Linked DNA regions of Macaca fascicularis. Each later gene encodes a partner of the first gene's protein in a complex. Links are inferred from orthologs where the notes say so. Each region holds a gene or a part of one and is shown in the gene's direction. Other genes may lie near its edges.

Evidence for each region.
Region 2: the proteins of GABARAP (region 1) and STX17 are in contact, whole or in part, in a crystal structure (PDB 7BV4), measured with the Homo sapiens proteins. The link is inferred for Macaca fascicularis from reciprocal best matches to the Homo sapiens genes GABARAP and STX17. Residues at the interface, in NP_009209.1 of Homo sapiens: Tyr5, His9, Lys13, Glu17, Lys20, Ile21, Arg28, Pro30, Lys46, Lys47, Lys48, Tyr49, Leu50, Pro52, Leu55, Gln59, Phe60, Phe62, Leu63, Lys66, Arg67, Phe104; in NP_060389.2 of Homo sapiens: Ala169, Glu170, Ser171, Trp172, Glu173, Thr174, Leu175, Glu176, Asp178, Leu179, Glu181, Leu182.
Region 3: the proteins of GABARAP (region 1) and KBTBD6 are in contact, whole or in part, in a crystal structure (PDB 4XC2), measured with the Homo sapiens proteins. The link is inferred for Macaca fascicularis from reciprocal best matches to the Homo sapiens genes GABARAP and KBTBD6. Residues at the interface, in NP_009209.1 of Homo sapiens: Tyr5, Glu8, His9, Glu17, Ile21, Tyr25, Arg28, Pro30, Val31, Ile32, Leu44, Asp45, Lys46, Lys47, Lys48, Tyr49, Leu50, Val51, Pro52, Leu55, Leu63, Arg67, Phe104; in NP_690867.3 of Homo sapiens: Ser663, Asp664, Asp665, Asp666, Phe667, Trp668, Val669, Arg670, Val671, Ala672, Pro673.
Region 4: the proteins of GABARAP (region 1) and TP53INP2 are in contact, whole or in part, in a crystal structure (PDB 8T31), measured with the Homo sapiens proteins. The link is inferred for Macaca fascicularis from reciprocal best matches to the Homo sapiens genes GABARAP and TP53INP2. Residues at the interface, in NP_009209.1 of Homo sapiens: Tyr5, Glu17, Ile21, Tyr25, Arg28, Pro30, Val31, Ile32, Lys46, Lys48, Tyr49, Leu50, Val51, Pro52, Asp54, Leu55, Gln59, Leu63, Arg67, Phe104; in NP_001316358.1 of Homo sapiens: Glu31, Val32, Asp33, Gly34, Trp35, Leu36, Ile37, Ile38, Asp39, Leu40, Pro41.

The regions. Positions count from the first base shown.
Region 1 is NC_088390.1:7,285,738-7,293,043, reverse strand, and holds GABARAP (gamma-aminobutyric acid receptor-associated protein), read left to right. Parts: upstream 1-1,238; 5' UTR 1,239-1,357; coding exon 1,358-1,447; intron 1,448-2,019; coding exon 2,020-2,098; intron 2,099-2,238; coding exon 2,239-2,357; intron 2,358-2,775; coding exon 2,776-2,841; 3' UTR 2,842-3,276; downstream 3,277-7,306. Other genes in the region: PHF23 (PHD finger protein 23), read left to right, coding at 4,416-4,449, 6,017-6,048, 6,201-6,293, 6,909-7,306. UniProt on the Homo sapiens protein: Ubiquitin-like modifier that plays a role in intracellular transport of GABA(A) receptors and its interaction with the cytoskeleton.
Region 2 is NC_088389.1:58,211,847-58,219,417, reverse strand, and holds the start of STX17 (syntaxin-17), read left to right. Parts: upstream 1-3,092; 5' UTR 3,093-3,128; intron 3,129-7,571. UniProt on the Homo sapiens protein: SNAREs, soluble N-ethylmaleimide-sensitive factor-attachment protein receptors, are essential proteins for fusion of cellular membranes.
Region 3 is NC_088391.1:20,476,344-20,484,145, reverse strand, and holds the start of KBTBD6 (kelch repeat and BTB domain-containing protein 6), read left to right. Parts: upstream 1-3,323; 5' UTR 3,324-3,614; coding exon 3,615-5,642; 3' UTR 5,643-7,802. UniProt on the Homo sapiens protein: As part of the CUL3(KBTBD6/7) E3 ubiquitin ligase complex functions as a substrate adapter for the RAC1 guanine exchange factor (GEF) TIAM1, mediating its 'Lys-48' ubiquitination and proteasomal degradation.
Region 4 is NC_088384.1:90,708,498-90,716,236, forward strand, and holds the start of TP53INP2 (tumor protein p53-inducible nuclear protein 2), read left to right. Parts: upstream 1-3,260; 5' UTR 3,261-3,367; coding exon of another isoform or gene 3,368-3,497; 5' UTR 3,498-3,731; intron 3,732-7,739. Other genes in the region: PIGU (phosphatidylinositol glycan anchor biosynthesis class U protein), read right to left, coding at 3,368-3,497. UniProt on the Homo sapiens protein: Dual regulator of transcription and autophagy. Positively regulates autophagy and is required for autophagosome formation and processing.

The DNA.
Region 1 (7,306 bases):
TGGGATTTTGGGCCACTGGATTTTCCCTAAATTTGTCCCCCCTTTCCTCTCCTTCTATTTTTCTCTCCTTAGACTCCCTCAGACCTGTAACCAGCTTTGTGTCTTTTTTTCCTTTCTTCTCTTTTAAACCATGCATTATAACTTTGAAACCAAAACGGCCCTAGGTCCTTCTCTGGGGTTTTGGGAAGTGAAGGGAGGGAACTTTGTTTACATGCACCCTGTCCCCCGAGCAGAGAGGGAAGAGACTGCTGTTGGACTCAAGGGGCAGGGGGAAAGGTGGTGTTGAGTATGGGGATACAATAATGAATGTGGCCACCAGATGCTTTGGCGGGAAGGGCCGAGGATGTGCGCGCTGGTGGGGAGTGGAAAGATACCTTCGGAGCAGCAGGCTAGAAAGCAAGTAAGGAGAAACCTGGACGGCCAAAGGGCGTAGAGCTGGAGAAACGTCGGGCTTCGTCCGGGGTACTGACGTGGACACGTTAAGCGGGCGCTGGCCCCAGGCGGCTGGCGCCCCGACCTCCGCAGTCCGGGGAGGCGTAGGTCCCCACTCGCCGCCGTCGCCCAGCCGGCCCCGCCTCCCCGGCGCCCTCCCAAGCCGGCCCTACTTCGCACACCCGCCACGTGACGCTCCGCCCTCTTTGAGATCACATGATTTCACTCAAACCGTGCGGTGTTCCTCCGCGCTGGCGTAGTCCCTACCCCTCCAACCTCCTCTCCAGTCCCTATTGGTCTACTCATTCTTGGCACTTAAGCGTTCTGTACATCTCTCCAAACATCTGTTTTCTTTTTGACCTCTTACTTCTGGAGATCATCTCCGCCACTTGGGTACTACTTTGTTTTGGTGTCAACGGCCGCCTTCAGCGTAGCAATACGGTTCGTGAATAGCTAACCTTGTAATTGTCTCTGCTGTTCCTCTACGTTGTTTCCGAAAGGAACTTGGAGAAGCAAGTCTCGTATGATGATTACCATATCTTACTCCTCTTCAGCCCCAGCTTCGTTGAGGGGAAGGTTGGGGAACAGATTTAGAGTTATTTTCCATGACCAAAAGCCAACCGTCTTTGCTACGTCGCCTGCGTAGCCCACAAATTGATTCCAAAGCGATTACGCTAATGGCGTGAGGGGGCCGGTCAGTGGGTGGTGCTACGCTAGCAGCGTTAGCACCGCTGAGGTAGTGGCGTATCTTAGTGGGGGGGCCGTCCCCGATAGTCGGGGGCGGGGTTGGTGAATAGGGAAGTGGCGCAAATTCGTGGATCGCTCCGCTGAATCCGCCCGCGCGTCGCCGCCGTCGCCGCCGCCCCCCGTCCCGGCCCCCCCGGGTTCCCTCAGCCCAGCCCGGTCCAGCCCGGTTCCCGGGAGGATGAAGTTCGTGTACAAAGAAGAGCATCCGTTCGAGAAGCGCCGCTCTGAGGGCGAGAAAATCCGAAAGAAATACCCGGACCGGGTGCCGGTGAGGACAGAAGCCAGGGCCGAGGGCGCGGGACGCTTACGCTGACGCCACAGCCTGGCCTTGGATCTGGGACGGGCAGCGCAGGGATCAGGCTGCTGGCTGTGTTGGGGTTGGGAGCGAGCCTGAAACTGCTGTCCTTGGGACCGAGGATGAAAGGAGTGGGGTAGTGGTGGACGTGGGGTTGAGAGGGATGTGGACAGGAGAGAGAAACCTTAGCATTTGTGTGAGTGGAGGCCTTAGAGAGTTTGACAGCCTGAGCCTCAAATGGCCATACCCCCAACTAGCTAAGGTTGCGAGATTGAATCACTAGTGGACCCAGACAAGTCATCTCCGTCTGATTAAGATAGTTGTTTATGGTGACGCCCTATTCGGTGGATGGATCCTGGATATTTAAATAAGCTCCAGTCAGTGAGGTCAGGATCTCTGGGACTCAGTGCTGCACCGCGTGTACAAAGACAAAGAGATGAGTCTGGGGTAGATTTAGGTACTAGGAATATTGTTACTTGAGTTCCTGACAGGTGCAGCTTTGGCGCTGCATTCCTTCTGTCTGCTAATTTTCGTCTCTTTATCAGGTGATAGTAGAAAAGGCTCCCAAAGCTCGGATAGGAGACCTGGACAAAAAGAAATACCTGGTGCCTTCTGATCTCACAGGTGGGAACCTGACCCAAGGCTCAGGCTTGCTTCCCGTGGGTGGGAGTGCAGTCTCTGTGGGAGAAGGCTCCACCTAGCAGCTGTTCTTTTGAGGGCATTTTTGACCTCTGTGACTTTCTTGCACCTTGTATCTTTTGCAGTTGGTCAGTTCTACTTCTTGATCCGGAAGCGAATTCATCTCCGAGCTGAGGATGCCTTGTTTTTCTTTGTCAACAATGTCATTCCACCCACCAGTGCCACAATGGGTCAGCTCTACCAGGTATGGTGACCGGGAAGTGGTGGAGGCTTTGGAGAGGAATCTTGGAAGAGCGTGAGGGGAAGAAAGTGTTGTTACATCAGTATTTTGGACTAGCTTCCTCGCTTGCCTTAACATTTCATAATAGCCGTGGTTTGGGGGTTGGGACAGAACAGTAGGAGTAGAGAGAAGGAAAGAGAACAGTGAACTAGAGAAACTGTTCGGGACTCTTCCCAGTCTTCCTCCCCATTCCAAAGCAGCAGAAAACAGTTTGAGGCCTTTTTTGCCCAGGACTGCAGAGATTATATTGCTCGTGTGCTAGGCCTTGGAGTCAGTGAAGGAGTCGGGCACTGGTTTCTGGTTCTAGAAGAAAGTGTCTGGGTCGTGGTTGGTTTAAGGAACTGGAGCCCAGTTGCTGAACAGTTTTCTGCCTTCATCCCAGGAACACCATGAAGAAGACTTCTTTCTCTACATTGCCTACAGTGACGAGAGTGTCTACGGTCTGTGAAGCTGCTGTCCCTGAGCTGGAGGGGGGTCTCATTCTACAAAGAGAGAGGTGGCCCCCTTTTCTTGACCTCCTCCTCCTTCAAGCTCAAACACCACCTCCCTTATTCAGGACGGGCACTTCTTAATGTTTGAAGTTTTCTCTCCAGCCTCTTTTCGGAGGGGTAATGGTGGAGTTGGCATCTTGTACCTCTCCTTTCTCCTTTCTTCCCCTTTCTCTGCCCGCCTTTCCCATCCTGCTTTAGACTTCTTGATTGTCAGTCTCTTCACATCCAGTGATTGTTTTGGTTTCTGTTCCCTTTCTGACTGCCCAAGGGGCTCAGAACCCCAGCAATCCCTTCCTTTCACTACCTTCTTTTTTGGGGGTAGTTGGAAGGGACTGAAATTGTGGGGGGAAAGGTAGGAGGCACATCAATAAAGAGGAAACCACCAAGCTGAACTGAATTTTGCCTTGTGTTGCTCCCCTCGTCCCGCTGATTTTTAGTCTTTCCAAGGTGTCAGTGGGTTTCAGTGGTGGGGAAAGGAGTATTGGGTACAAGCTGGAGGAATAGAAGTATATTTTGGTTTATTCTGTCCATGTTGGGCTTTTCCCTGTCTGCAAAAAGAGGGTGCTTTTTTGTGATGGAATGGAATACTGAGGATCATTTAATGAAACTTTAGTTTTATGACATGTATGTGAAACTGAATGTTAAAAATGCTCACGTAAAACTTTTGTTTTTTTTTTACTGTGGGTTCCTGTGGAGAAAGTTCCAAAGTACCTGCTTTAGGTGAACATCCACATTTGCTAGAACATTCTAATTAAGGAAGATATTTTCATGTGTGTAAGCTAGTAAAACGGCTGTTCTCAGTTGCATGTCACTTGGCTAGACTTTTGCCGGTGTGTGGGATTCAGCAGAGTGGAATCAGGGAGGGAGAAGACTGGGAGGGGGAGCCATTATCGCCAGGAATACTTCATCTCCCAGCAATCATTTCTCCGGCAGGCCGGAAGTGGGGCGGTCCCTCGGGGGAGAAAGAAGCTGCAGAACGAGACAGTATGGTGGCCGAGAGTTCTAATCCCTTCTTCCTCTTCTTTCTTGGTCCCGCCCAGCCTACATCTCCCAGGGGCCTGCGCGCGCACTTCCGCTCTCTCCTCTGGCTCCCGGTCTCCCCGCCACTCCCCGGGGGAGGGGAGCGGCTTGGGGCGCCTGCGCCAGCCTGTGGCTTTCTGGGAATCAAAGTTCCGGAGGCTCATGCGGTCCCTTTTCCGCTGTCCCCGGACGGACTACAAAACCCTTGGTGCACTGCGCCTCGGCGCCGGCGGAGGGAGGAGGGAGAGAAGAGGAGGGAGGGAGGAGAGAGGAGGAGGAGGAGGAGGAGGGAGCAGGCGGCCGGCGGCGCGGGGGGAGGGGGCCCGGTCCGGGAGTGCGGGAGGCAGTGGTAGAGGGAGGTGGCGGCAGCGGCTAGCGGACTCGAGTCTCAACCGGGCTGAGGCGGACACTTCTGTGGAGCGAAGCAGTGGGAGCATCGAGCACTAGAGGCGGCACCGGGATCCCCGGCTCCGGGGAGGGGGGCGCCGGACCGGGAGGAGGGGAGGGGGCGATGCTGGAAGCCATGGCGGAACCCAGTCCCGAAGGTGAGCTTTCGACCGGCGCGGAGCGCTGAGCCGGCGGGGGGGCGGACGAGGAATCAATTGGCAAACTTGGAGGTCGAGCCCCGAAGCCCAGCGGGGGAGTTCGGGGAGGGGGTCGGGAGGCTGGCCCTGGAGGTGGGAGAGCGACGAGTTGAGAGACCTTGGAGAAAGAGGAGTGGGAGACTGGGCTGGGGTAGTTGGAGATCAGACGGTGGGGGGGTGCGGGGGATAGGAGCTTGAAATCCGGAGCCTCGGGGGTTAGGGCCCGAAAGGGCCACCGGCAGATTGGGGCCCTGGAACTGGAAGGTTGGGGAAATCCAGTGGCCGGGAGTTGCTCAGGAGGGAGGACGTAGAAGAGGCTGAGTGAGGGGCCCGGTAGTTCGCCGAGGTGGGGTAGTTTGTGGCGGTGGTACGGGAGCTCCGAATAGTTGCCGCCGGAGAATGCCCGGTGATTGTCGGAGGGGTGGGCAGGTAGTTGTGGGGAGAAGAGGGGGTCTGGGTATTGTCTACGGCAGACGGACCTGTACCGGGGGGTAGTTGTGGAGAGAGCGAGCCAGGAAGCGAGGCGAGCTGGGTAGTTGTAGGGGGTGGTGGGGCGGGGTGGGGGGGTTAAGACCGGCGACTTGCGGGGGGGTTAGGGTTGGTCCGCGAGGGTTAGAGCCTGGGAGTTGCTGAGGGTGAGGGGGGCATCGGTGGCAGCAAAGGTGGCTGCTGTGGAGAGAGAGTGGCTGGTTGGGGGGAAGGGGCTGGAGTTGAGGGGTCCATAGCCTAGTGACTGGGTGGTGAGTACGGGGGCGGAGGGGGGGCGGCGGCGGCCGGAGAGGGCTCGGAACAGGGCCGGGGGGCCCGGCGGGGAGCCCGGGGAGCTCGAAACGAGGAGGGGCCAAAGCCCCGGATGGGGGCGGAGGGACGGCGAAATTGTGGGGAGCGCGGTATGGGGGGGGCAGGTGGGGCCGCGTCCGGGTTAGAGCTCCCGGGTCTGTCCCGGCCGTGAAGTAGCGTTGGATGCGTGTGCCTGTGTGTGTTTGGGGTGGGGGTGAGGGGCGCGCCGGGCCGCGTGCTCGAGTAGAAGGGGCCGGAGGGCGGGGAGCGGTTCGGCGTGGTCATCCTGGACCCTGGGGGCCGGCGGGCGGCGTGTGCGGTCTCGGAGGGCCTGAGGCGGTGGAGCGCGGTCGGGTAGGAACTCGGGGCTCTGGACGCATGTGAAGGACGGGGGCGGCGGGCGGCGGCCCGGACGCGGACCCGGGAGCGGTAAGGTGGGGTGGGGCGCTGAGGGATCCGAGTAGACTGGAGTCGAGAGAGACCGTGAGTTGGGGGGGGCGGGGCGCCGGGCCTCCGGTTGGGGGAAGGGGAGCGCTATAGCGAGGCCTCAGAGGGCGCCGCGCCCAGGCTCCGCCCCTCGCGGGGCGGAAGGGGGAGCAGGGGCGGATCCAACACAGCTGGGGGCCTGCTGGCCTGGCAGAGGGACCTGGGAGAGCCGGGGGTTCACTTAGGAACAACAGGGTTTAGAGGAGGAATTTTACACAGACTGTTTCGTAGTGTCTTGACTCAGCTTTTATTGCTTTTCCAGATCCACCTCCGACCCTGAAGCCAGAGACTCAGGTGAGATTTCCTTGATCTTTGCAGCCTAGTAGCCCTGCCTGACAACGCCCCCGCCCCCCTTTTCTAGACGCCTCACTTAGGGACTGTGTCTCTGAGAATGCCCTTCTTAAACTGTGTGGCTTTCCATGTGATCCATGTCTCCTTCCTTTCAGCCACCAGAGAAACGGCGGAGAACAATTGAGGATTTCAACAAATTCTGCAGTTTTGTTTTGGCATATGCTGGTTACATCCCTCCTAGCAAAGAGGTAGGGGCAAGAGAATTACTGACTTGAGGCTCGTGTCGTGGGACTAGAGAGTGGCTGTTGTTCACATAGAACTGTACTGCTTTATAGGAGGAAGCCCCTAGAAATATGTAAGACTAGAGGGAAGTTGGAGATTCTTAGGACTGTGGTAGGAAAGCTGGTATGCAGGGAGTGGATGGCAGGGCTAGCTAGCTTGAACAGCAGTGAAAAGCAAGGGGGTTCTGGAGTTGCTGGTCGAGATTTTGGCAGTCTTGAGGTGCTGTGAATAGAAGGTGTTTATGGATAAATTTTAGGGAGATGAAAATGGTAACAAATTAGGCTACACAGAAAAAGAGCTAAGGACATAAGGCTCTGGTCTGGGGGACACCGTGTTCCACAGGCCCTGGGCGGGGCAGCGGTGAGGTATCAAGACTCGAAGGTGGAGGTAACACGGAGTGGTCACGAGGACATGCTGATGGGAATTGGGGTGGGGAGAAGTTTTGGGAGTACAGTGGGATTTAGTGGTTGAGGTAGAGGACATTTTGGGGTAAATCTAGTCACTCCTTTTCAAGCTGGGTTTGTGGAGGGGCTGAGATGACACTGGGGTTCTGCTGACCCTGGTCTCTTTCCCCTTTTAAGGAAAGTGACTGGCCCGCCTCTGGCTCCAGCTCTCCATTGCGAGGAGAGAGTGCGGCCGACAGTGATGGCTGGGACTCGGCCCCCTCAGATCTTCGAACCATCCAGACTTTTGTTAAGAAAGCAAAGTCATCCAAGAGAAGGGCAGCCCAAGCAGGTCCCACCCAGCCAGGACCCCCAAGGTCCACTTTCTCTCGTCTGCAGGCCCCCGACAGTGCTACCTTGCTTGAGAAGATGAAGCTCAAGGACTCTCTCTTTGATCTCGATGGGCCCAAGGTGGCATCTCCTTTGTCCCCCACATCCCTGACACATACCTCCCGGCCCCCTGCTGCTCTTACCCCCGTGCCCCTTTCCCAGGGGGACCTCTCCCATCCTCCTCGAAAGAAGGACCGAAAGAACCG
Region 2 (7,571 bases), on another chromosome or scaffold:
AAACAAAACAAAAAAGGAAGGAAGGAAGGAAATACAAAAAGAAAGGAAAGGAAAAGAAAGGAAAGGAAAGGAAAGTAAGGAAGGAAGGAAGGAAAAAAGAAAGAAAAGAAAAAAGAAGGAAAGAAAGAAAAGAAAGAAAGGAAAGAAAGAAAGAAAAAGAAAGAAAGAAAGAATCACAATGGGATTTTGCTAAATTTTTAAATTAGTTTGGTGGAAATGGACAACTTTACAATATTGACTGTATTATTTTTCCATATATTCGAGTCTTTATTTGTATCCTTTATGGAAATATGTAAGTCAGGTTAAAGTATAAATACTGTTGTTAGGTAAGATCTGAGTCTTACTCCTGTTATATAGTATATGAGACTTGGACCTTGGTCAAGTTACTCTCTAAGCCTCAATTTCTTAGTTTGTACAATGGGGGTGATTGTAATACCAACTTCATGGGTTGTCATCAGTATTAAATAACATACTGCATGTAAAGTGCCTAACCAAGTGCTTTACACATCATATACAATCAAATAAAAAGCTACTTCTTCCCCCCTCCCTTTTTAAACGGCTTTATTTAGGTATAATTGACACAGAATAAGCACTTATACATAAACGTATTTACAGTGTACAATTTGGTAAGTTTTGACATATAAACATCCATGCAACCATTACAACAATCAAGAAAATGAACATTTTTATCACCCCCAAAGTTTCCTCATGCCCCTTTGTGATCTTTCCTTCCACCCCTATCCCTCATCTAGCTTTCTCAATTCTTCAAATAGGTCTTGTAATTCCTTATAAACACAAACTTGAATTTTGTTATTTTTGAATGCAATATTTCTCCTATTTCAATTTTTTTTTTAAGAGACAGGGTGTCAGTCTTTTGTCCAGGCTGGAGTACAGTGGTGGAATCATAGCTCATTGCAGCCTCAAACTCCTGGGCTCAACTGGTCCTCCTGTCTCAGCCTCCTGAGTAGCTGAGACTATAGGTACATGCCACCATACCCAGCTACCTTTTCTTTTCTTTTTTAGAAATGGGGTCTTACTATTTTGCCCAGGTTGGTCTTGAATTTCTAGCCTCAAGCAATCCTCCCTCATCAGCCTCCCAAAGTGCTGAGATTATAGGCATGAGCCATCACACCCAGTCTTCTTCCCACTGCATTTTAAAATTGATGATTGTTGTTTAGGAGAGGTATTTTATAGCCACCTTATTGAATTAGTTTCAATTTATTCCATGGATTTTCCAAGAAAGCAATCAATCATAATACTCTAAAAGAATTTATTTTTTATTTTCTTTCCAACATATATACTTAATGTTTTGTTTTGTTTGGACTTGCTGGGTTCAGTTAGGACTTCAGGAAAATGTTGGCTAGTAGTAGCAGGCCTGCCCCTAACAACTTGATGACCCAGATTACAGAAAGAGGTCTATACACCGTAAGTTTGAATATTTAAAGATTATACATCAAGCTAACCAACAGTTAGATTGAAAAGTTTTGGCCAGGCACGGTGGCTCACATCTGTCATCCCAGGACTTTGGGAGGCCGAGGTGGGTGGATCACGAGGTCAGGAGATTGAGACCATCCTGGCTAACATGGTGAAACTCTGTCTCTATTAAAAATACAAAAAATTAGCCGGGCATGGTGGCAGGCGCCCGTAGTCCCAGCTACTCAGGAGGCTGACGCAGCAGAATCGCTTGAATCTGGGAGGTGGAGGTTGCAGTGAGCTGAGATCACGCCACTGCACTCCAGTCTGGGCGACAGAGCAAGCCTCTGTTCCAAAAAAAAAAAAAAAAAAGTTTTATCCTACTACTTTGACACATCTAACTTATAGCAAACATACACATAGCAACTTAGAAGTCCAGGTCCAAATTTAGAATCTTTGAGTACCACACCTCCCGATTTTGTACCTGAGGAAGTTCTTCAGAACTTAACACAAATTATCTTTCATTTCAGAAGGTCTTATTTCACTGATCCTTGCATAAACATCATTTTCTCATGGTATTGACTAATACTTTAATTTTTCTCCTTAGAATCAAAATTTGATAAACACATTTTGGGGCTCATTGTAAAACAAACATCAGCATACATTATGTTCCCAAAGAAAATCCAAATTGCTTGGTAGATTTGGTGCTTTGTTTTAGAAATTGTCTTTCAAGGCTTTTTAAAGGATCTACGGGCCCCTAATCTTCCCTGGTCCACAATTTCTACCTCCAATTCTACTGGAAGACCCTAAGAACTGAGTTTCCTTAACTGTGGTTTGAACATCCTGATCACTTCTGAGACAATACCATTAGTGAATACATTCTAAGCACGTCATCTGAATATTTACAGACATCTTTTAAAAACGGCTGGATCTGGAAGTTAGGCCATGAAGAGAGGAAGACCTGTGACTTGGACAAGGCTTCAAAGCCGGTCACCTGCTTGTTCATGTGGTAGCAGCTGGTCTAACTGGAATAACTTGGGAAGGAAATTAGGACACACAGTTGGAGTTCCAGCTCTGTCATAAGCTGGCTAAACTGGAATCAGTCACTTAAAACTCTTTGTTAAACCCCAGAGTCATAATCTATAAAATCGGGATAAAGACGTTTGCCTTAAGCCCTCCACCAGTTTTTGGAGGAAACCACAACTGACTGAGCTTTAATTTTTGCACCTGTTGCAATTAAGATGGCACTTCTGCCCTGTCCACTTCACAGGGTTTTTGGGGATGGGATGGGGAGGCAAAACCTTTCTGAGCTTCAGTTTCAAAACAGAGCTAAGAATACATGCCCAACCCGCAAATAAAATTCTAGGAAGAACAGAGGAAAATAGACAGGAAAACTGCAAAATGCAGTCGGCCATACAAGCATGAATTGTCTTGAACACAACAAGCAGACCTGAAGAGGGTTTGTGCGTCTCTCTCCTCTTGGCTCGAGTCACAACCCCATAATGTAAATCAAAATCACTTTTGAAAAAGGCTTTCGCTGTTCAGAGCGGCGTCCGCATTTGTACTCACCTGCGCGTCCCCCGCACCCCACCCTGCTGCCTCGCGGGACGGGGAGGGGGCGGGGCCTAGCCCAGCCCACCCCTCGCGATGCCCCGCCCCGTCGCTCCTGCGCCTGCGCCGTGCGCACCGACCGGCCTCGAGCGCCACGGCGGGAGGTAAGGGGCTCTCTGGAGGCCGCCTCTGGGGGCGTCGGGCCCTGATAGGCTTGGTGGGCCGGGCGCCCTGTGGCGCGCGCAAGAGGCGCTGGGAGGCAAGTGGGGCATTGGATCAGAAGTGCGAGCCCCATGGTGGCTGCTCCTGTCTTTCAGAAGTGGCGGAGCCTCTCTCGGTTTCGTTTTTGGAAGCTTTATTAGAAACTGGTATAGGGAGGCCGCAGACGATGCGAGCGGGACGGCCTTCCGGGGTCGCAGGGTGGAAAAGTTTCCGACGCGCGTCCTGTCTCTGGCGCGCTGTAGGCCTCGGGTCGCCAGGGTCGCCGGCGTCTGGGTTCCGGGACAGACCCGCGCATCCGTTCGCTGGTGGGGGCGTTTGTTGTGTGTGGCCCAGGTGTGCTGTGGGTGACACTGCGAGGAATGACGCGACGCTCGAGGGTAGTGGGGAGTGGACAGGGAGCGAGAGGCCGAAAGCCCCTGCTCACCAGACCCAGAGGTGGTTCGCAGAAGGTCCCACCCCTTGGCTCCCTCCTTTTAGCTATCTGAGGTTCAGAGAGGAGACCTCACATTGACTTTTCTCTCCAAATTCACTGTCTCTTCCATAACTCAGAAACCCAAAGCGGCGGGCCCGAAGAAATCGGGCGCCACCAGTATCCCGAAAAGTGGGACCTCTGAGCCGATGGAAGGTGTTCGTCACTTTTGGGGGCTGGGTTTTCTGAGAAATGGGGTCTTTCACTTATTAATAACCTCCCAAGTAACTTACTGGGAAACATAAGTATTATGGTACCCATCTCATATTAGTTGTAAGCACTACATGATAAAGTTTGTAAAGCACCTGGCACAGTCCTGGCACCCCTCTCTCCAAGTATTAATGCAGTGAATACCATTGCAGTTCTTTGACTTCTAAATGTTTCTACCTGTCTTACGTGAAACATCTTCTTATACATAAAAAACCTTTTTATTTTGAAATAATTTTACAATTACAGAAAAGTTTCAAAAGTAGTACAGAGTTCCCTATTGCTTCCATTAATAATTTTTTAGATACCATAGCGCAATTATCAAAAGCAGGAAGTTAGTATAATACTATTAACCGAATTACTGACTTGTGATTTTTTTTTTTTCCTGTATTAATGTCCTCTTTCTATTCCAGGATCTACTCTAAGACCCGACATTGCAGTTAGTTGTCTTGGGTCCTTGGTCTTCTCCAGTCTGTGACAGTTCCTCAGTCTTTTCCTGTCTTTACATTGATAGTCTTTTTCAGTCTTTATACTCTTTCTGATCTTTACGCTTTTGAAGAATGCTGGTCAGTTATTTTGTAGAGTGCCCCTCAAATGGGGTTTGTCCAGTGTTCTCTCATGAGTAGATTAAGGCTATGCTTTTTTGTTAAGAACACAAAAGTGTGTGTGCCCTTCTCAGTTCATCATATGAGCGTAGCTGATAGATATGACTTATTGCTTGTGAGGTTACTCTTGATCACTTGGTAAGAGAGTGTCTACTGGGATTCTCCAATATAAAGGTCTTATTTTTTCTCCTTATAATTAATTGACATCTTGGGGGAGCTTTTAAACTGTACGCATATCCTGTTTCTCCTCAGACTTTCCCTTGCTAAATTTCACATCCATTGGTGGATCTTGCCTTCAGCAATTATGACTATGGTGTTCTAATGATGATTTTCTACTTTCCTCATTTCTTTATTTATTAATTGAAATTATTCTGTAAGGATGAGCTGCGCTTTTCCCATTTGTTTATTTGTATTCCGTTATTTATTTGTATCCATGTGGACTCAGATGTTTTTCTATTGGTTTTTATCTTACACTTGTGTTATTTTATGTGTGAAATTGTTCAGCTTTGATCATTGGAGTTTTTTTTTTTTTTTTTTTTTTTTTTTTTTTTTTTTTAGGTTGCTTTCTGTAGCTTTTCAGCATGCTTCCATCCTTTTTTTTTTTCTTTTTTGGAACTTCCTAATTTTCTGGTACCATATGATGCCCCAGGCTCATCATATGTTTTCTGTGCCTCAGCCCTGATAATCAGCCACTTCTCCAAAGACCCATAGTTTCTTTTTTTGGAGAATAGTATTTAAACACAAAGATCTGTGCTCTAGGGATGTTCATTGCTCTGGGGTAACATTACTTCCAGGGCCCCACAGAAGACACCAGTCTATACATATGCATACCCATGTATACACAAAGATCTGTATTTATTTCTGTATTTATTTATCCATATATTTTTTAAAAACAAAAGTTCATCCCAGTAGCTTTGCTTCTAGTCTAACACCACAGGGTTCATTCTAGTTTTGTCCCTTATTTTTAACTTCTTTATCTGACAGTGAGAAATCTGACTCTTGTAGTCTACAAAATGTTTTCTTATTTTTTCAGTCCTAGTATACACATAAAGTAATTTCAGGATTTCTGACCTATATTCCTGTGAGAAACACATTTACTAAATAGAGGACAGTGTAGTTCCTTTTGTCTCTAGTCTTACAGTATTCAGTTAAAATATTGTTTTCTAAAGTGGCTTAGATTATTTTTCTTCCTCACTTCTTTCAGTGTGGTTATGCTATTCATTTATAATACAGTTTATGTTTTTATAGTTTCTATTCCATTTTGGAGGGAAAGAGTCTAAAGGTAGACTAATTGAAGCTCCTCCATTATCATGTGCTATGCATATTGTGCTATTTGACTAGAGTGATAGGATTAGCAATGGTGAAGAAATATTTTAGTTCAGGCAGCATCTATTGAACAACAGGTGTGTTCAAAAAACATTTTGATAGGAATGATGGTAGATATAAAGATATCTCTTTGCAGTATAGAAAACAAAAGAGGCAGTGTGATAGATTGGGAAATGTTAATGTTAGACAAGTAACTGATATATTTAACATTTAATAACCTTTTATGAGAGAATAAGAGAAAGACATCCTCTGTAGTAAAACAGATATGTATGACATGAACAGGCAATTCATGGAAGTAAGAAATGCAATGGTTACAAAAAAATAGTGAGAAAGAATGAATAAAATCTAGTACTTGATAGCAGAACAGGGTGACTATAATAATTCAATTGTACATTTTAAAATAACTAGGAGTATAACTGGATTGTTTGTATCACAAAGAATAAATGCTTGAGGTGATGGATACCTCATTTACCCTAATGTGATTATTACACATTGTATGCCTGTATCAAAATAACTCATATATCCCATAAATATATACCTACAACTAATATATACCCACAAAAATTAAAAATTAAAAAAAGAAGAAATGCAGCAGGGCACGGTGCCTCATGCTTATAATCCTAGTACTTTGGGAGGCCAAGGCAGGTCAATCACCTGAGGTCAGGAGTTCGAGACCAGCCTGGCCAACATGGTGAAACCCCATCTCTACTAAAAATACAAAAATTAGCAGGGCGTGGTGGTGCGTTCCTGTAATCCCAGTTACTTGGGAGGCTGAGGTAGGAGAATCACTTAAACCCGGGGAGTGGAGGTTGCAGTGAGCTGAGATCACACCACTTCACTCCAGCCTGGGCCAAAAAAAAAAAAAAAGAAAAAAGAAATGCAAATGGCTGATAAATCCATCCCGTTAGTAATTTAAGGAGTGCAAAGTAAAGCAATAATGAGACATCATTTTTTTCACCAATGGCATATCTTTTTTTTTTTTTGAGACGGAGTCTCGCTCTGTCGCCCAGGCTGGAGTGCAGTGGCCGGATCTAGGCTCACTGCAGGCTCCACCTCCCGAGCTCATGCCATTCTCCTGCCTCAGCCTCCCGAGTAGCTGGGACTACAGGCACCGCCACCACGCCCGGCCAGTTTTTTTGTATTTTTAGTAGAGATGGGGTTTCACCATGTCAGCCAGAATGGTCTCGATCTCCTGACCTCGTGATCCGCCTGTCTTGGCCTCCCAAAGTGCTGGGATTACAGGCTTGAGCCACCGCGCCCGGCCTCACCAATGGCATATCTAAGAATGATAATACTAAGTACATTGGTTGGAATATGGATAAATGGACATCGTGTTATGTTTCTGGTAGGAACATAGTAGGCATAACCTTTTGTGGGATATGGCAATATATATTAAAAAAAACTTTGAAAAATCTGTCTGCCTAATAATTCTATTTCTAGATATTTTTTATTTTTATGTAAATTTTTTCAATTAATACACAATAATTTTACATACTTATAGGATACATGTGATATTTTGATACATGCATACCATGTGTAATGATCAAATCAGGGTATTTGGGATATATATCACCTCAAACATTTATTATTTTTTTGTGTTAGAAGCACTTCAGATCTTCTCTTCTAGCTATTTTGAAATACGCAATAAATTATTAACTATAGGTACCCACTGTGTTATTAAACATGAAAAATTTATTCCTTCTATCTAACTGTATGTTTGTACCCATTTACCGACTTCTCTTCATCCCTCCTGCCCCTTCCCATCGCTCTACTTTCTA
Region 3 (7,802 bases), on another chromosome or scaffold:
CTTTAAATATTTTGAAGTCCCAGACAATCAGTCCAAATGCCCTTGGGGGAAGGCATGAAAAGTGGTATCCTATGGGGAAACAGGTGGGGTCTGAGGTATAGTAATTATTAGCAATTACTGGGATTAACAACTGGGTGGATCCCTCAGGAGAGCAGAGTCTTTGTGTGGAACTGAATGCAGTTTGTAAGGCTGGTTGGGAAGTGGTGGAAGAGAAAATGGTTAACATTAGAGATAAAAGTACTCCTACATTTTTTCCTACACTTGATCCTGAGAAAGTGGAGTCATTCAGTTTGGAGATTTCAAGAGACTCATTAATCATGTTTGGAATTAAGTTTCATTCAGTACATGCCGAGAAATTGGGGATAATAGAAGAGTCAAGGGCCATAAGGCATGAGACTCTGGGCAGGTTGAGTTCCTTAAGGAGTTTGGCTAGTTTGAATATAAGAGTACCATTGGTCTGCTTGTTTCATTTTTCCAGAGGACTGGTAAGAAGACTGCAGTTTTTGTAACATTGGAAGTACTTGTTGAAGATCCTGAATAACCTTACTACTGAAGTGAGTTCCTCCACTGTTATTAAAAAAACAAAGAGATTCCTAAGAGGGGAAAATTCTTTCTGGTCTCAGCTTAACTTCAGTGGTGATGGTAGCTTGTTTACAGAGAAAAGCTTTTAACCATGCTGAAAACATGCCAACTATGGTTAGGACATTTTTGTACCCATGAGACTTTGCGAGTTTATATATTTTCCAATGAAAACAAGGACTAGAGAGAGTTGACTCTCATCCTTGTCCCACTTTACATGTTGACTAGGATTGTGTTTCTGGCAGATGGGGCAAGTTCAAGTTAACGGCTCAATATTAGGGCATCTCGAACAATATTTGTGGAGATCCTTCAGATTTTCTTTGCCATAATGTGTAACCTCATGGAGGCTGCAGAATAAATTTTAGGTGAGGGACCGAGAGAAATCAAACAGTTGTCTAGGTGTCTCCAAAGCCCATCTGAGTAGATAAAACATCCAGCTTGTTGCTTTTTTGCTTTTTCAGCCTCAGGTGCTAGCAGCTGTTATATCTTAAGTTTCTTAAGAGTTTCTATCTTTAGAGTAGGTTAAGCAAGGAGAAGTATACATGTGATTCAGGGGATGTCTTCTTGGGAAGCAGAAACCTTAGCATATTTTCAGCCAGTTAAGTTTCCTTTAGCTTTGTTAGTCTAGCCACTAGTGTGAGCTTTGATTTTTGAGAACAGCTAATTTCTGGATAGCTGTAAAGACTTAAATAGGAGGGCCGGGTGCGGTGGCTCACGCTTGTAATCCCAGCACTTTGGGAGGCCGAGGCGGGTGGATTACCTGAGGTCAGGAGTTTGAGACCAGCCTGGCCAACATGGCGAAACCCCATCTCAACCAGAAGTACAAAAAAAAAAAAATTAGCCGGGCATGTTGGTGGGCACCCGTAATCCCAGCTACTCAGGAGGCTAAGGCAGGAGAATTGCTTGAACCCGGGAGGCAGAGGTTGCAGTGAGCCAAGATCGAGCCACTGCACTCCAGCCTGGGCAACAAGAGCGAGACTCCATCTCAAAAAAAAAAAAAAAAAAAAAAAAGATGTAAATAGGTTAGCGAGTTGGGTTCTGATTGGTACTCCTCAGTTGTCATAAACCTCTTTCTTTCCATAGCATACCAAAATCATGTACAATTCCAAAAGTAAACTGGCTGTCTGTATAAATGTTAGTTCCCTTATCTTGTGCTAACATGCAAGTTTGGGTGAGTGCTTAAGAATTCAATGATTTGGGCCACGTTAACTTAGGTGGAGATTTCAACTTAACAGGCTGTTGAAAATCTGCAATAGTGTATCCTGCTTAAAATTCCCCATTTGTACTCCTGAAGTAAGAACCATCTACAAAGAAGGTGATATCAAGGTCTCTGAGAGGAGTTCTGGTGATGTCAGAGTGAAGAAATGTGAATGACTGTGTGACGGTGATATAGTCACAAGGTTGTCCTTCAGAGGGAATGGGAAGAAAAGTGGCCTGATTGTTTTGACTACAGTGGACAGTGATGTGAGAGGAAGACAGTGGCAGGGTTTCACAGGAGGTGAGTCCAAAGTGGAAACGTGTTAGGTGTTCTCAGTGACTTCTAATGTCTGAACTACATGGGTAAGTAAAGGTTGAGTGAATGACTAAAAATAAAGTCAGTTCTGATGGAGCAGCAACTTCATACAAGCAAGGGGAGAAATGCTTGAGCCTCTGGGTCTAAAAGGATGCTAAATTACCAACCAGGCCTCTGGCTTCCCTTGTGTTTTGGGGTGAGGACCCCTAAAGCATGTCTCTTCTTTTATGTAAAAAAGGGAAAGGGGTACTGAATATTGGACAGACCAAGTGGGAAAAGTGGCTAGAGAGGACTTCAGATTTTGAAATGCAGATATGGAAGGAAAGTCTCAAAGTAAGGTGATTGGAGGTGGTTTCCTTTTAGTCATGGCAAGTAAGGACAGGCAATTGTGAAAAAACCAGGGATCTAATTCCAGCAACAGCCAACCAATCCTACAAACCCTGAGTTAATTTTTGGTATCAGGGAGAGGCACAGTGAGTAAAAAATAAAAATAAAAAAAATTCACTTCTACTGGATGCATACACTAATACAAGGTGTTAATAATAATAAGGGAACTGTGAAGTGGGGAGAGATATATGGAAGTTCCCTGTCCCTGCTGCTCAATTTGTCTGTAAACCTAAAAATAAAATCTAATTTACACACACACACACACACACACACACACACACACACCCCTAAAAAGGGATCTCTGCTGCAATTTGCAAGGTTTTCTGTTTTCGGGGGCTGTTTTTTGTTTTCCTACAGGCTCATAATTTCAAATTAGTGATGCTTCCTTTTTTTTCTATATATATAAAGGCTAGAAGAAAACTTGTCGAACCTTTATATTCTAAGAACTGAGTAATTATTCTACAAACCAACAAATATTAACAGCGTCCTATAACCAACTCATTTAATCTTCACACAATCCTATGAAATACTACTGTTCACATTTTACAAAAGAAGAAACAATTCAAAGAGACAAGTCGAACAATACATACTAGAACGAGGCGACTACTGTGGATTCCAAAACCAAAGTTCCAAACCACAAAATCGAATCTAGGAAAACTGGCGCTCTCGAGTGTCGTCAGTTAAAAAACAAGGAACACCAGAGAAGGATCGCGATATTACACAAACTACTACTCCCAACATGCAAAGCGGATTCTTTCCCTCGGTATCGGCCTGGGAGTCCGAGAGGCCCAGCAGCCTTCGGGGCGCGAAAGGCAACCTGGGAGCGGTAGTTCTCCTGGGCCCTAGTATTGTCGCCCACGCGGCAGTAGCGGCTTCTACGGCTCCAAGCCAGCGGGTCCTGTGAAGGCGAGCAGACGCGGAGAAAGGACGCGGGAGTGAGAGAGGGTGAGTCAGCTACTGTCTAAACGATAAAGGGAGGCGGCTCCGCAGGGTAGGGCTGAATTCAGTAAATGGGCTCGTGCTGCGGTCTCTTGGGAGACGCTGCTATCTTAGCGTCAGCGAGGGAAGGTTGAGGAGGAGCCAGAGCCGGGTCCTGCAGCCTTTCTCGCCATCAGCGCCCGTCGCCATCTCCACCATGCAGTCCCGGGAAGACGCCCCGCGCTCTCGCCGCCTCGCCAGTCCCCGTGGTGGGAAGCGGCCCAAGAAGATTCACAAACCCACGGTTTCGGCCTTTTTCACGGGTCCAGAGGAATTAAAGGACACGGCCCATTCTGCAGCCCTGCTGGCACAGCTCAAGTCCTTCTACGATGCGCGGCAGCTGTGTGATGTGACCATCGAGGTGGTGACGCCTGGCAGCGGGCCTGGCACGGGTCGCCTCTTCCCCTGCAACCGCAATGTGCTGGCCGCCGCGTGTCCCTACTTCAAGAGCATGTTCACAGGTGGCATGTACGAGAGCCAGCAGACTAGCGTGACCATGCACGATGTGGACGCTGAGTCCTTCGAGGTGTTGGTCGACTACTGCTACACGGGTCGTGTGTCTCTCAGCGAGGCCAACGTGGAGCGCCTGTACGCGGCCTCCGACATGCTGCAACTGGAGTATGTGCGGGAAGCCTGTGCCTCCTTCTTAGCCCGACGTCTTGACCTGACCAACTGCACCGCCATCCTCAAGTTTGCAGACGCCTTTGGCCATCGCAAGCTGCGATCCCAGGCCCAGTCCTATATAGCTCAGAACTTCAAGCAGCTCAGCCACATGGGTTCAATTCGGGAGGAGACTCTAGCAGATCTGACCCTGGCCCAGCTGCTGGCTGTCCTGCGCTTGGATAGTCTGGACGTGGAGAGTGAGCAGACAGTGTGCCACGTGGCAGTGCAGTGGCTGGAGGCTGCTCCCAAGGAGCGGGGTCCCAGTGCTGCGGAAGTCTTCAAGTGCGTGCGCTGGATGCACTTCACTGAAGAAGATCAGGACTACTTAGAAGGGCTGCTGACCAAGCCCATCGTGAAGAAGTACTGCCTGGACGTTATTGAAGGGGCCCTGCAGATGCGCTATGGTGACCTGTTGTACAAGTCTCTGGTGCCAGTGCCAAACAGCAGCAGCAGCAGCAGTAGCAGCAGCAACTCTCTTGTATCTGCAGCAGAAAATCCACCCCAGAGACTGGGTATGTGTGCCAAGGAGATGGTGATCTTCTTTGGACACCCCAGAGATCCCTTTCTCTGCTGTGATCCATACTCGGGGGACCTTTACAAAGTGCCGTCACCTTTGACCTGTCTGGCTCACACTAGGACTGTCACCACCTTAGCTGTCTGTATCTCTCCTGACCATGACATCTATCTAGCTGCCCAGCCCAGGACAGACCTCTGGGTGTATAAACCAGCTCAGAACAGTTGGCAGCAACTTGCAGATCGCTTGCTGTGTCGTGAGGGCATGGATGTGGCATATCTCAATGGCTACATCTACATTTTGGGGGGGCGAGACCCTATTACTGGAGTTAAGTTGAAGGAAGTGGAATGCTACAATGTTAAGAGAAACCAGTGGGCATTGGTGGCTCCACTGCCCCATTCTTTTTTATCCTTTGACCTAATGGTAATTCGGGACTATCTCTATGCTCTCAACAGTAAGCGCATGTTCTGTTATGATCCTAGCCATAATATGTGGTTGAAGTGCGTTTCTCTGAAGCGCAATGACTTTCAGGAAGCGTGCGTCTTCAATGAGGAGATCTACTGTATCTGTGACATCCCAGTCATGAAGGTCTACAACCCAGTTAGGGCAGAATGGAGGCAAATGAATAATATTCCCTTGGTCTCAGAGACCAACAACTACCGGATTATCAAGCATGGCCAAAAATTGTTGCTCATCACCTCTCGCACCCCACAATGGAAAAAGAACCGGGTGACTGTGTATGAATATGATATTAGGGGAGACCAATGGATTAATATAGGTACCACATTAGGCCTCTTGCAGTTTGATTCTAACTTTTTTTGCCTCTCTGCTCGTGTTTATCCTTCCTGCCTTGAACCTGGTCAGAGTTTTCTCACTGAAGAAGAAGAAATACCAAGTGAGTCTAGCACTGAATGGGACTTAGGTGGATTCAGTGAGCCAGACTCTGAGTCAGGAAGTTCAAGTTCTCTTTCTGATGATGATTTTTGGGTGCGTGTAGCGCCTCAGTGAAATGCACAGGATAAGCAGGGTTTGTTGTAACTGAATTGAAACACTAAGTTGTTTTTACTGTTTTGGAAAATATCTTAAATATCCTTTTTGTTCCTAAAGGAAAGGAAAAGTTGATTAGCTGCCGGTTTGGTTTAGAAAAAGTAATATTTGAAATACGAAGGTAATTTAATATTACAAATGTTAACACTCAGATCAACCTTTTAATAATTTTCTGTGCTAAGGGTCCAGTATTTATTTGATTATTTAGTATGTTTATGTTTCATGACACTAATTTAGTCTTTTGATAAATTTTACATTCTGTTTACTGCCACAAGCACTGTGGCAGTAACTTTTGAATTTTAATGTTTATGATAGAAAAATGATTAGGAATTGCTAGATAGTGTTTTGAAAGCTTATCTTTTTCTTCGGAACAATGTAGATTTCCAAAATGGTTAACCTAAGGGGTCTTTGCAAAATGTGTTATAAGTTAAACATAATTTGGGAAGTTTTACTTTTGTTTTCTTCTATGAAGAAAAAAATGCAGGCCGGGCGTGGTGGCTCACGTCTGTAATCCCAGCACTTTGGGAGGCCGAGGCAGGTGGATCACCTGAGGTCACGAGTTCAAAACCAGCCTGGCCAACATGGTGAAACCCCATCTCTACTAAACATACAAAAATTAGCTGGGCCTGGTGTCGTGTGCCTGTAATCCCAGCTACCCAGGAGGCCAAGGCAGGAGAATTGCTGGAACCCGGGAGTCAGAGGCTAGAGAGAACCGAGATTGGGCCACTGCACTCCAGCCTGGGTGACAAAGCAAGACTCCGTGTCAAAAAAAAGTATATGTGTGTTAGGGTGACTGAATGGTGATTTCATTTATAATAATACAGAGAATAGCTATAAGCTCATTGACAGTAAAAACAACAAACCAGGATTCTGCTGTTTGAAAAGAAGTTTCGTTTTAATTTTGGAATTTAGGATGCAGATTTGCAAAGCGACCAATTTTCATCTAAAAAATTATATTCTGGTTGTGTCACCAAATCATCAAAAAACTTTAAAAAAGAAGTAACTTGCTTTGTAGATTTGTATTGTTGATCTAAACCTGATACATGCTTCATTTAATCAGAGGAATAATCCTTTTTTCGCTGGACATGTATAAATTTCACTGGATTGTATAAATTTTTATCTATTGCCTTAAAAATGTATGTGATTCTCAATATGTTTTAGCTGCACAGTTTTGGTGTTCATCTTAGAGGATTCTTCAGCAGAAGTGATATTTCTTTACTGTTTTGTGAGGTAATACTGATTTTGAAAATATATATAAGCTAAAAACAGAATTTCGTTGATATCAGTAGTCATTGTGTTAACTATGAAGTCAAGTGCCAGCAAAGAACTTTAAAACTATAAAGCTGTGTATAGAACTGTTTTGTGTAGCATGGAAATACTCTGTCAGCTTTTTAAAGTCACTAAATGTTCTTGATTATCAGCTTGAAGGTATTTTTGTATTACAAGTTGACAGTTGCTGGGTGTAGTGCCTCATGCCTGTAATCCTAGCAACTCAGGGGGCTGAGATGGCAGGATTGCTTCAGCCCAGGAGTTTGAGAGCAGCCTGGGCAACATAGCAAAACCCCATCTCTACAAAAATAAAAAATTTGTCTGGGAATGGTGGTCCAAGTCTGTAGTCCCAGCTGTTTGGGAGGATCACTTGAATGTAGGATCACTTGAGTCTGGGAGTTCGGGGCTGCAGCTATGATCACATCTCTGCACTCCAGCTTTGGCAACAGAGCAAGATCCCATCTCTTAGAAAAACAAAGTTGATAGTTGAAGAACATAAGTGGATGATGGCATTTGAGGCCACTGGTGAAAGTATGTTTTCTCTAAAATATTTCTCTAATAGTGATATAAATGGCTATTTTATTATGATGTTTGTATGTGTTTTGTATTTCTCTGTAAACCGTGCTCCAGTCTTTGTTTTTCTGTTACCATAATGTAAGAGAAAGTCCAGGAACAGAGACTACATCCCACGAAACTGACATTGTTAAACACACTAAAACAAAAGTACTTACCTCTTGAAGATTTAATATATAATGCTTGACATGATACCTGTACATGATAAATGACCAGATGCTTATGGTCTACATTTTCCTTTATTCTGTTAGTATTACCTTCCTTAATCTTTGTTCATTA
Region 4 (7,739 bases), on another chromosome or scaffold:
CTGATTCATCTATTTCAGCCCATGTCAGCACTATTTTTCCTATTATCTCAACTCAAAACCTTAGAATTCACCTTTTTGGCTTTCATTATCGTGTTGAGCTTCAACATGGATTATCTCATTGAACGGGATACATAATTTCCTATTTTACAGATGGAAATACTGATGTTAGAATTCATACAACTTGGCCGGGCACAGTGGCTCACGCCTGTAATTCCAGCACTTTGGGAGGCCAAGGTGGGCAGATCACGAGGTCAGGAGATTGAGACCAGCCTGGCCAATATGGTGAAACCCCGTGTCTACTAAAAACACAAAAATTAGCCAGGCATGGTGGCACGTGCCTGTAGTCCCAGCTACTTGGGAGGCTGAGGCAGAAGAATCACTTGAACCTGGGATGCGGAGGTTGCAGTGAGCCAGGATCACACTACACTCCAGCCTGGGCAAGAGACCAAGACTCCATCTCAAAAAAACAACAACAAAAAAAGCCGGGCGTAGTGGCTCACACCTGTAATCCCAGCACTTTGGGAGGCCAAGGCGGGCGGCTCACCTGAGGTCAGGAGTTTAAGATCAGATTGGCCAACAAGGTGAAACCCATCTCTACTAAAAATACAAAAATTAGCTGGGCATGGTGGTGAGCACCTGTAATCCCAGCTACCCAGGAGGCTGAGACAAGATAATCGCTTGAACCTGGGAGGCGGAGGGTGCAGTGAGCCAAGATCGTGCCATTGCACTCTAGCCTCAGCAACAAGAGCAAAATTCTGTCTCAAAAAAAAAAAAAAAAAAAAAAAAAAGAATTCATATAGCTTATAATTTGCAGAGCTAGAGACAGTCAAACCTTTTCTGACATTCCAGACGCTGTGCTCTTAATCAACAAACAACATTGTCTCATCTTGGAATCCTTCACCTGTCTATCCTGTAAGTAACCTCCTGTAAGTAACCAGATCCTATGCTTTCTTCTCTTCCCCATTTATTCAACAGTAACTACACACCTACTCTATGCCAGACATAAAAGAATTCAGGAATGAATAAAACAGAGTCCTTCAAGGAGCTCATACGGTAGTGGAAAAGGCCAGGTGTGGTAGCTTATGCCTATAATCCCAGCACTTTGGGAGGCCAAGGTGGGCGAATCACTTAAGCCCAGGAGTTTGAGACCAGCCTAGGCAACAAGGTGAAACCCCATCTCTTCAAAAAATACAAAATAACAGTAATAAGTGGGGTTGGTGGTACATGCCTGTAGTCCCAGCTACCAGCTACTTGGGAGGCTAAGGAGGGAGGATCTCCTGAGCCCAAGAGGTCATGGCTGCAGTGAGCCGTGATCACTGCACTCCAGCCTGTCAGAGTGAGACCCTGTCTCTTAAAAAAAAAAAAAAAAAAAAAAAAAAGAGAGAGAGAGAGAGAGGCTGGGCGCGGTAGCTCATACCTATAATCCCAGCACTTTGGGAAGCAGAGGTAGGCGGATCACCTGAAGTCGGGAGTTCGAGACCAGCCTGACCAACACGGAGAAACCCCATCTCTACTAAAAATACAAAATCAGCCGGGCATGGTGGTGCATGCCTGTAATCCCAGCTGCCCAAGAGGCTGAGGCAGAAGAATCGCTTGAACCCAGGAGGCAGAGGTTATGGTGAGCCGAGATCGTGCCATTGCACTCCAGCCAGGGCAACAAGGGCGAAACTCCGTCTCAAAAAAAAAAAAAAAAGAGAGAGAGAGAGAAAATGTGGAAAAACCGGATATAAACAAGTAATTATGAGATGAGAAATGCTCCTAATAGGGAGTAGAGGAAGAAGGGCCTAATACTGCCTCAGGTCTTCAGTTACCCAGAAGAAAACAGGAACCAAATGGCTTCGATTTAGTTCAACAAAAAAATAATATGCAGAGGTAACAAATGCAAAGTCTTACAATCTCAGACATGAATTACTACTATCTTTATTCCCATTCCCCAAGTAGGAAACCTGGGCAAATTAACTTCTCTAAATTTCAGTTCCCTCATCTGCAAAAGGGGGAAAATAACACCATCTATCACATAGAAATAAAAGTGAGGACTAAATGAGAAAAGGTATATAAAATGTTACCATTTTTTAGAAACCTCAACTCTATTCATAAAACACCCATTCATTATGCCATTCCCCATGCCAACATTTCTATAGGATAACATCAAAACTTTAGCCTTGGCCAGCTGCCATTGCTCACGCCTGAAATCTCAGCACTCCGGGAGGCCAAGTGAGACTGCCTGAGTCCAGGAGTTCCAGACCAGCCTGGGCGACATAGCAAGACCCTGTCTCTAAACAAAAAGCAAAACCAAAAACGAAAAAAAACTTTAGCATTTAAAGGACACAAAGGGGACTTCTGGGGTGCTGCTACTGTTGCTTGAAGTAGGTGCTGGCTACATGAGTGAATACAGTTTGTAAAAATTCATTGAACTCTACACTTAATATGTATTGTATGTATATTGTACTTCAGTTTAAAATAAAATTTTATTTATTTTTTGTTTAATTCATCAAACTCTGGCCTAAACCTAGCTTCCACCCCATTACTCCCCTACTTTGGACATTTCACATCTTTGAACGTTTCTTCATCCCATTTACTTTCTGCTACCTGGAACTACCCTTTTCTCTAATCTCCCTTCCAAAACCCTACATCCTTCAAGAGTCAGCTCAAATCCCACATTCTTAGGAAAACTGGAAAGAGAGGGGATAGTTTATTCAGGGTCAAAATACTAAGGAAGGAACTGGGTGGACACAGAAAGTACACTTTTCATAAATTATTATAACGATTTGTCTCCCTCACTAGCCTGTTCAGTTATTTCAGCCCAACTTCTGTTTCTCGCTGTAGGCGTTAGTATAAAACAATGTTTGATGAGGAACTTAGTAAGGAACAGTAACAAAAACTGCCCTGCAAGTCCCAGACTGAGAAGAGACGTCTAAAGCACATGCACACTCTCCTCGCTTAAGCAAAATTGGTCCCCTCATCCCGGACTCCCTCACACATCACCTCTCACCCCAGGGAGCACCCCCTCGCGATCCCGCCCCAAATCCCAAACTCCTCTGCAAACCGCGCTGCACAAGCACCTCCTCCTCTTATTCCAACCCTTCCACAGACCACACTCCGTCGGCTCAGGGCACTGAATGGGACACGCCCCCTCAGATCCCCACCACTAGGTGGTCCGGCCCCCAGGGCCCAAACCTCACGACACCATCTCCACGCCCGCTCCCCTCACCAGCCCCGCCCTCAGGCCCCGCCCTCCCCGAGTACCCCACGAGAGGGTCAGTTCTCTAGGAACCGCGCGCTGGCGGTCACTGCCCCCGCCTCCCATTCACAGAGGCCGCGGGAGGGCAGGCGGGGCCTGACCGTCTGCTCGAGCCAGTGACCTCACCTCTCTTCCAAGAGCTCAGCGGGGACACCACCTCCACCCGCTCGGAAATGAACTCGGCCAGACTGGAGCGGAACAAGGCCGCCCGCACTGTCACAGCCACCACCAGCACCAGGGCCAAGGGAGCCGCCATGATAACTGGGGCGGGCGCGCGGGCGATGAGGGAAGGCGAGGTGGAAGAGCCTCGCGACCTGCGCGCCACTCTCTGTAGTTCCGCGCGCGACCGCGCGCCGCCGCTGCCACCGGAGCGGCCAGACGTGGAGACTACAACTCCCAGAAAGCCTTACGGCGAGGCGGGCCGGAGCGACGGAAAGCGGGTGCCTCAAGCTGCGTGCAGAGGGTGGGGCGAAACCTTCTCGGATCGCAGGTGCGTTGTGAAACGGCGTCGCTGTAGCGGGGCTGAAACGCTGCTGAAAGTAGAAGCGGAAGTAGTCGACTTCCCGGGATTGTGAGATACTTTTAAACAGACGTTAATTTCACTCTTGCGTGTATGTTTTCAATGCCAAAATTTTTATTTTTATTTTTATTTTTTTTGAGACTGAGTCTCGCTCTGTTGTCCAGGCTGGAGTGCAGTGGCGTGATCTCGGCTCACTGCAACCTCCACCTCCTAAATAGCTGGGATTACAGGCGCCCACCACCACGCGCGGTTAGTTTTTTTTCTTTTTTTTTTTGAGTAGATATGGGGTTTCATCATGTTGGCCAGGCTGATCTCGAACTCCTGACCTCAGGGGATCCGCCCGCCTCGGCCTCCCAAAATGCTGGGATTACAGGCGTGAGCCACCGCGCCGGCCTCTCTCTCTCTTTTTTTATTTTTTATTTTTTAAGAGACAGGGTCTCACTCTGACAGGCTGGAGTGCCACGATCATAGCTCACTGCAGCCATGACCTCTCGGGCTCAGGAGATCCTCCCTCCTCAGCCTCCCAAGTAGCTGGGACTACAGGCATGTACCACCAACCCCACTTCTTCTTCTTCTTCTTCCTATTATTATTATTATTATTTTGTATTTTTACTAGAGGTGGGGTTTCACCATGTTGGCCAGGCTGGTCTGGAACTCCTGACCTCAGATGATCTGTCCGTCTTGGCCTCCCAATATGCTGGGATTACAGGCGTGAGCCACCGCGCCCGGCCCAAAATGTTTATCTTTTATGTTTGGTGGTTTTTTGCTTTTGAGACAGGGTCTCAGTCGCCCAGGCTGGGGTGCAGTGGCTCGATCTCGGCTCACTGCATCCTGGACCTCCCAGGCTCCAGAGTAGCTGGGACCACAGGTACGCACCACCATGCTCGGCTAAGTTTTTGTACTTTACTTAGTAGAGACGGGGTTTTGCCGTGTTGCCCAGGCTGGTAACTTTTTATGTTTTTAAAGAGTGTTAAATGTGTATTTTTTTTTTTCCTGGCAGTTGTTTGTTAAATGCCAACTATTTTCCAGGCACTATGTTAGGTTCTGCGGATACGTTTGGGGGTAGTAGACTGATTTATTAGCTCTGCAACCTTCAACAAGTCGCTTAACCCTTCTGTGCTGAAAAAGGTGCTGATTGTAGGCTCACTAGGGACGGTTGAGGAAGGCTTAGAATCTTTTTTTTTGGAAACGGAGTTTCACTCTTGTTGCCCAGGTTGGAGTGCAATGGCACGATCTCAGCTCACTGCAACCTCCGCTTCCCAGGTTCAAGCTATTCTCCTGCGTCAACCTCCCAAGTAGCTGAGATTACAGGCAAGCGCCACCACCCCTGGCTAATTTTTTGTAATTTTAATAGAGATAGGGTTTTTCTCCATGTTGGTCAGGCTGGTCTCGAACTCCCGACTTCAGGCGATCCGCCTGCCTAGGCCTCCCAAAGTGCTGGGATTACAGGCTTGTGTTATTGTGCCCGGCCAGAAGGCTTAGAAATTTTGCCAGTCACTTTTAAACACAACCATTTTTGAAAATTAACATATATAAACCTACAGTTAAATAACTTATATTGAAAACAAGGGAATACATATTCAACACTTCACTTTCTAATTTTTTTACCACACTTTTGTTTTATATGTGCTTTTGACATTATTTACCACCACTGTATCAGTACGGCAAATACTATATCTTTCTCTTCCCAAATGGTGGTGTTCAGTTTCCTCCGGTTGATAGATTGAAAATCCCTCCTGATGCAAGTGTTTACACCACAGGAATCAGCAAACACTAGAAATCAGGGGTTTGGGGTTTGGAGAGCCCATTAATAAGCATTAAGCAGCACACTTCATTAATTAATGTATAGTAAGTGCTTAAATATTAGCAATAATAATATTAAATGTGCAAGGAAATTTCATATTTATGAAGAAAATGAAACAGGCTGGGCGTGGTGGCTCATGCCTGTAATCCCAGCACTTTGGAAGGCTGAGGTGGCCGGATGACTTGAGGTCAGGAGTTCGAAACCAGCCTGCCCAACATGGTGAAACCCCGTCTGTACTAAAATTACAAAAATTAACCAGGCATGGTGGCCTGTGCCTATAGTCCCAGCTACTCAGGAGGCTGAGGCAAGAGAATCAATTGAACCTGGGAGGCGGAGGCTATAGTGAGCCAAGATAGTGCCATTGTACTCCAGCCTGGGTGACAGAGCCAGACTCTGTCGAAGGAAAGAAGGAAAGGAGGAAGGGAGGGAGTGAGGGAGGGAGGGGAACAGTGTATGATTGAGAATAACTACTGGTGTAATAATAAGGGTGGTAACACTAGACAAAGTGATCAGGGAAGACTCTACAAAGAGATGATTTGAGCTGAGACCTAAAGGATGAGAAATTGATCAGAGCTTCCAAGCAGAAGGAACGGACTGAGTGGAGAGAGGGCAAGGTATGTGTGAGGATCAGAAAGAAAACAAGTATGACTCAAGTGGAGAGAATAGAAGAAGCTGTGGATGGAAAGACGAGGGGCAATCAGATAGGGACCTATTGGCCATGGTTGAGAATTTGGGCTTTATTCAAAGTGCAATCCATATGCCACTGGAGAATTTTAAACCAGAAATGATGTGAACAGGTATACATTTTTCAAACATCTCTGTGTTCCCACAAGCCCTCTATTGGGTGTTGGGGAATATTGCAGAGACAAAATGGCACCATCTGCCTTTGCCCTTATGTAACTTGGAAAGCAGTTGAAGAGATAAAATAGTTAAATAATAACGTAAGTAAAATCACAAACCATAACTCCAGCCTGGGTGACAGCGAGACTCTGTCTCAAAAAAAAAAAAAAATCACAAACCATAATGAGAGAAAGAAAAGGGGGAATCGGCCAGGCGCAGTGGCTCACGCCTATAATCCCAGCACTTTGGGAGGCCATGGCCGGAGGATCGCTTGAGTCCAGGAGTTTGAGATCAGCCTGGGTGAAACCTGTCTCTACAAAAAACATAAGAATTACCCAGGCATGGTAGTGCACGCCTGTAGTCTCAGCTACTGGGAAGGCTAAGGTGGGAGAATCACTTGAGCCTGGGAGGTTGAAGCTGCAGTGAGCCAAGATCACACTGCTGCCTTCCGGCCTGGATGACAGAGCAAGACCTTGTCTCAAAAAAAAAAAGAAAAAGAAAAAAAATGGCCAGCACTTTGGGAGGCCGAGGCAGGCAGATCACCTGAGGTGAGGAGTTCGAGACCAGCCTGGCCAACATGGTGAAACCCCATCTCTACTAAAAATACAAAAAATTTAGCTGGGTGAGGTGGCAGGCACCTGTAATCCCAGCTACTTGGGAGGCTGAGACAGGAGAATCACTTGAACCCGAGGATCAGAGGTCGCAGTGAGCCGAGATCACACCACTGCACTCCAGCCGGGGCAACAGAGCAAGACTGTCTCAAAAAAAAAAAAAGAAAGAAAAAGAAAAAAAGGGTAGGCCGGGCACGGTGGCTCAAGCCTGTAATCCCAGCACTTTGGGAGGCCGAGACGGGCGGATCACAAGGTCAGGAGATCGAGACCATCCTGGCTAACATGGTGAAACCCCGTCTCTACTAAAAATACAAAAAAACCAGCCGGGCGAGGTGGCGGGCGCCTGTAGTCCCAACTACTCGGGAGGCTGAGGCAGGAGAATGGCGTGAACCCGGGAGGCGGAGCTTGCAGTGAGCTGAGATCCGACCACTGCACTCCAGCCTGGGCGACAGAGCGAGACTCCGTCTCAAAAAAAAAAAAAAAAAAAAAAAAAGAAAAAAAGGGGAATGGGATTCTAAAAGAATGCAAAAATCAGCCCTGGGGCTGATAGCTTTCGGACCAGTGGAAGGGGCAGAGTCTCCTTTGGGGGAGGGGATCATGAAGAAATTAGAGGGGCACTCATCCTTTGAGCCCCTGCTCTGTGCCAAGCAGTGTACCATATGCTTAACACACATGGGCTTATTTAGTCTGCACAGCCTTCCTTCTTAAATATGTAGGTTTTGG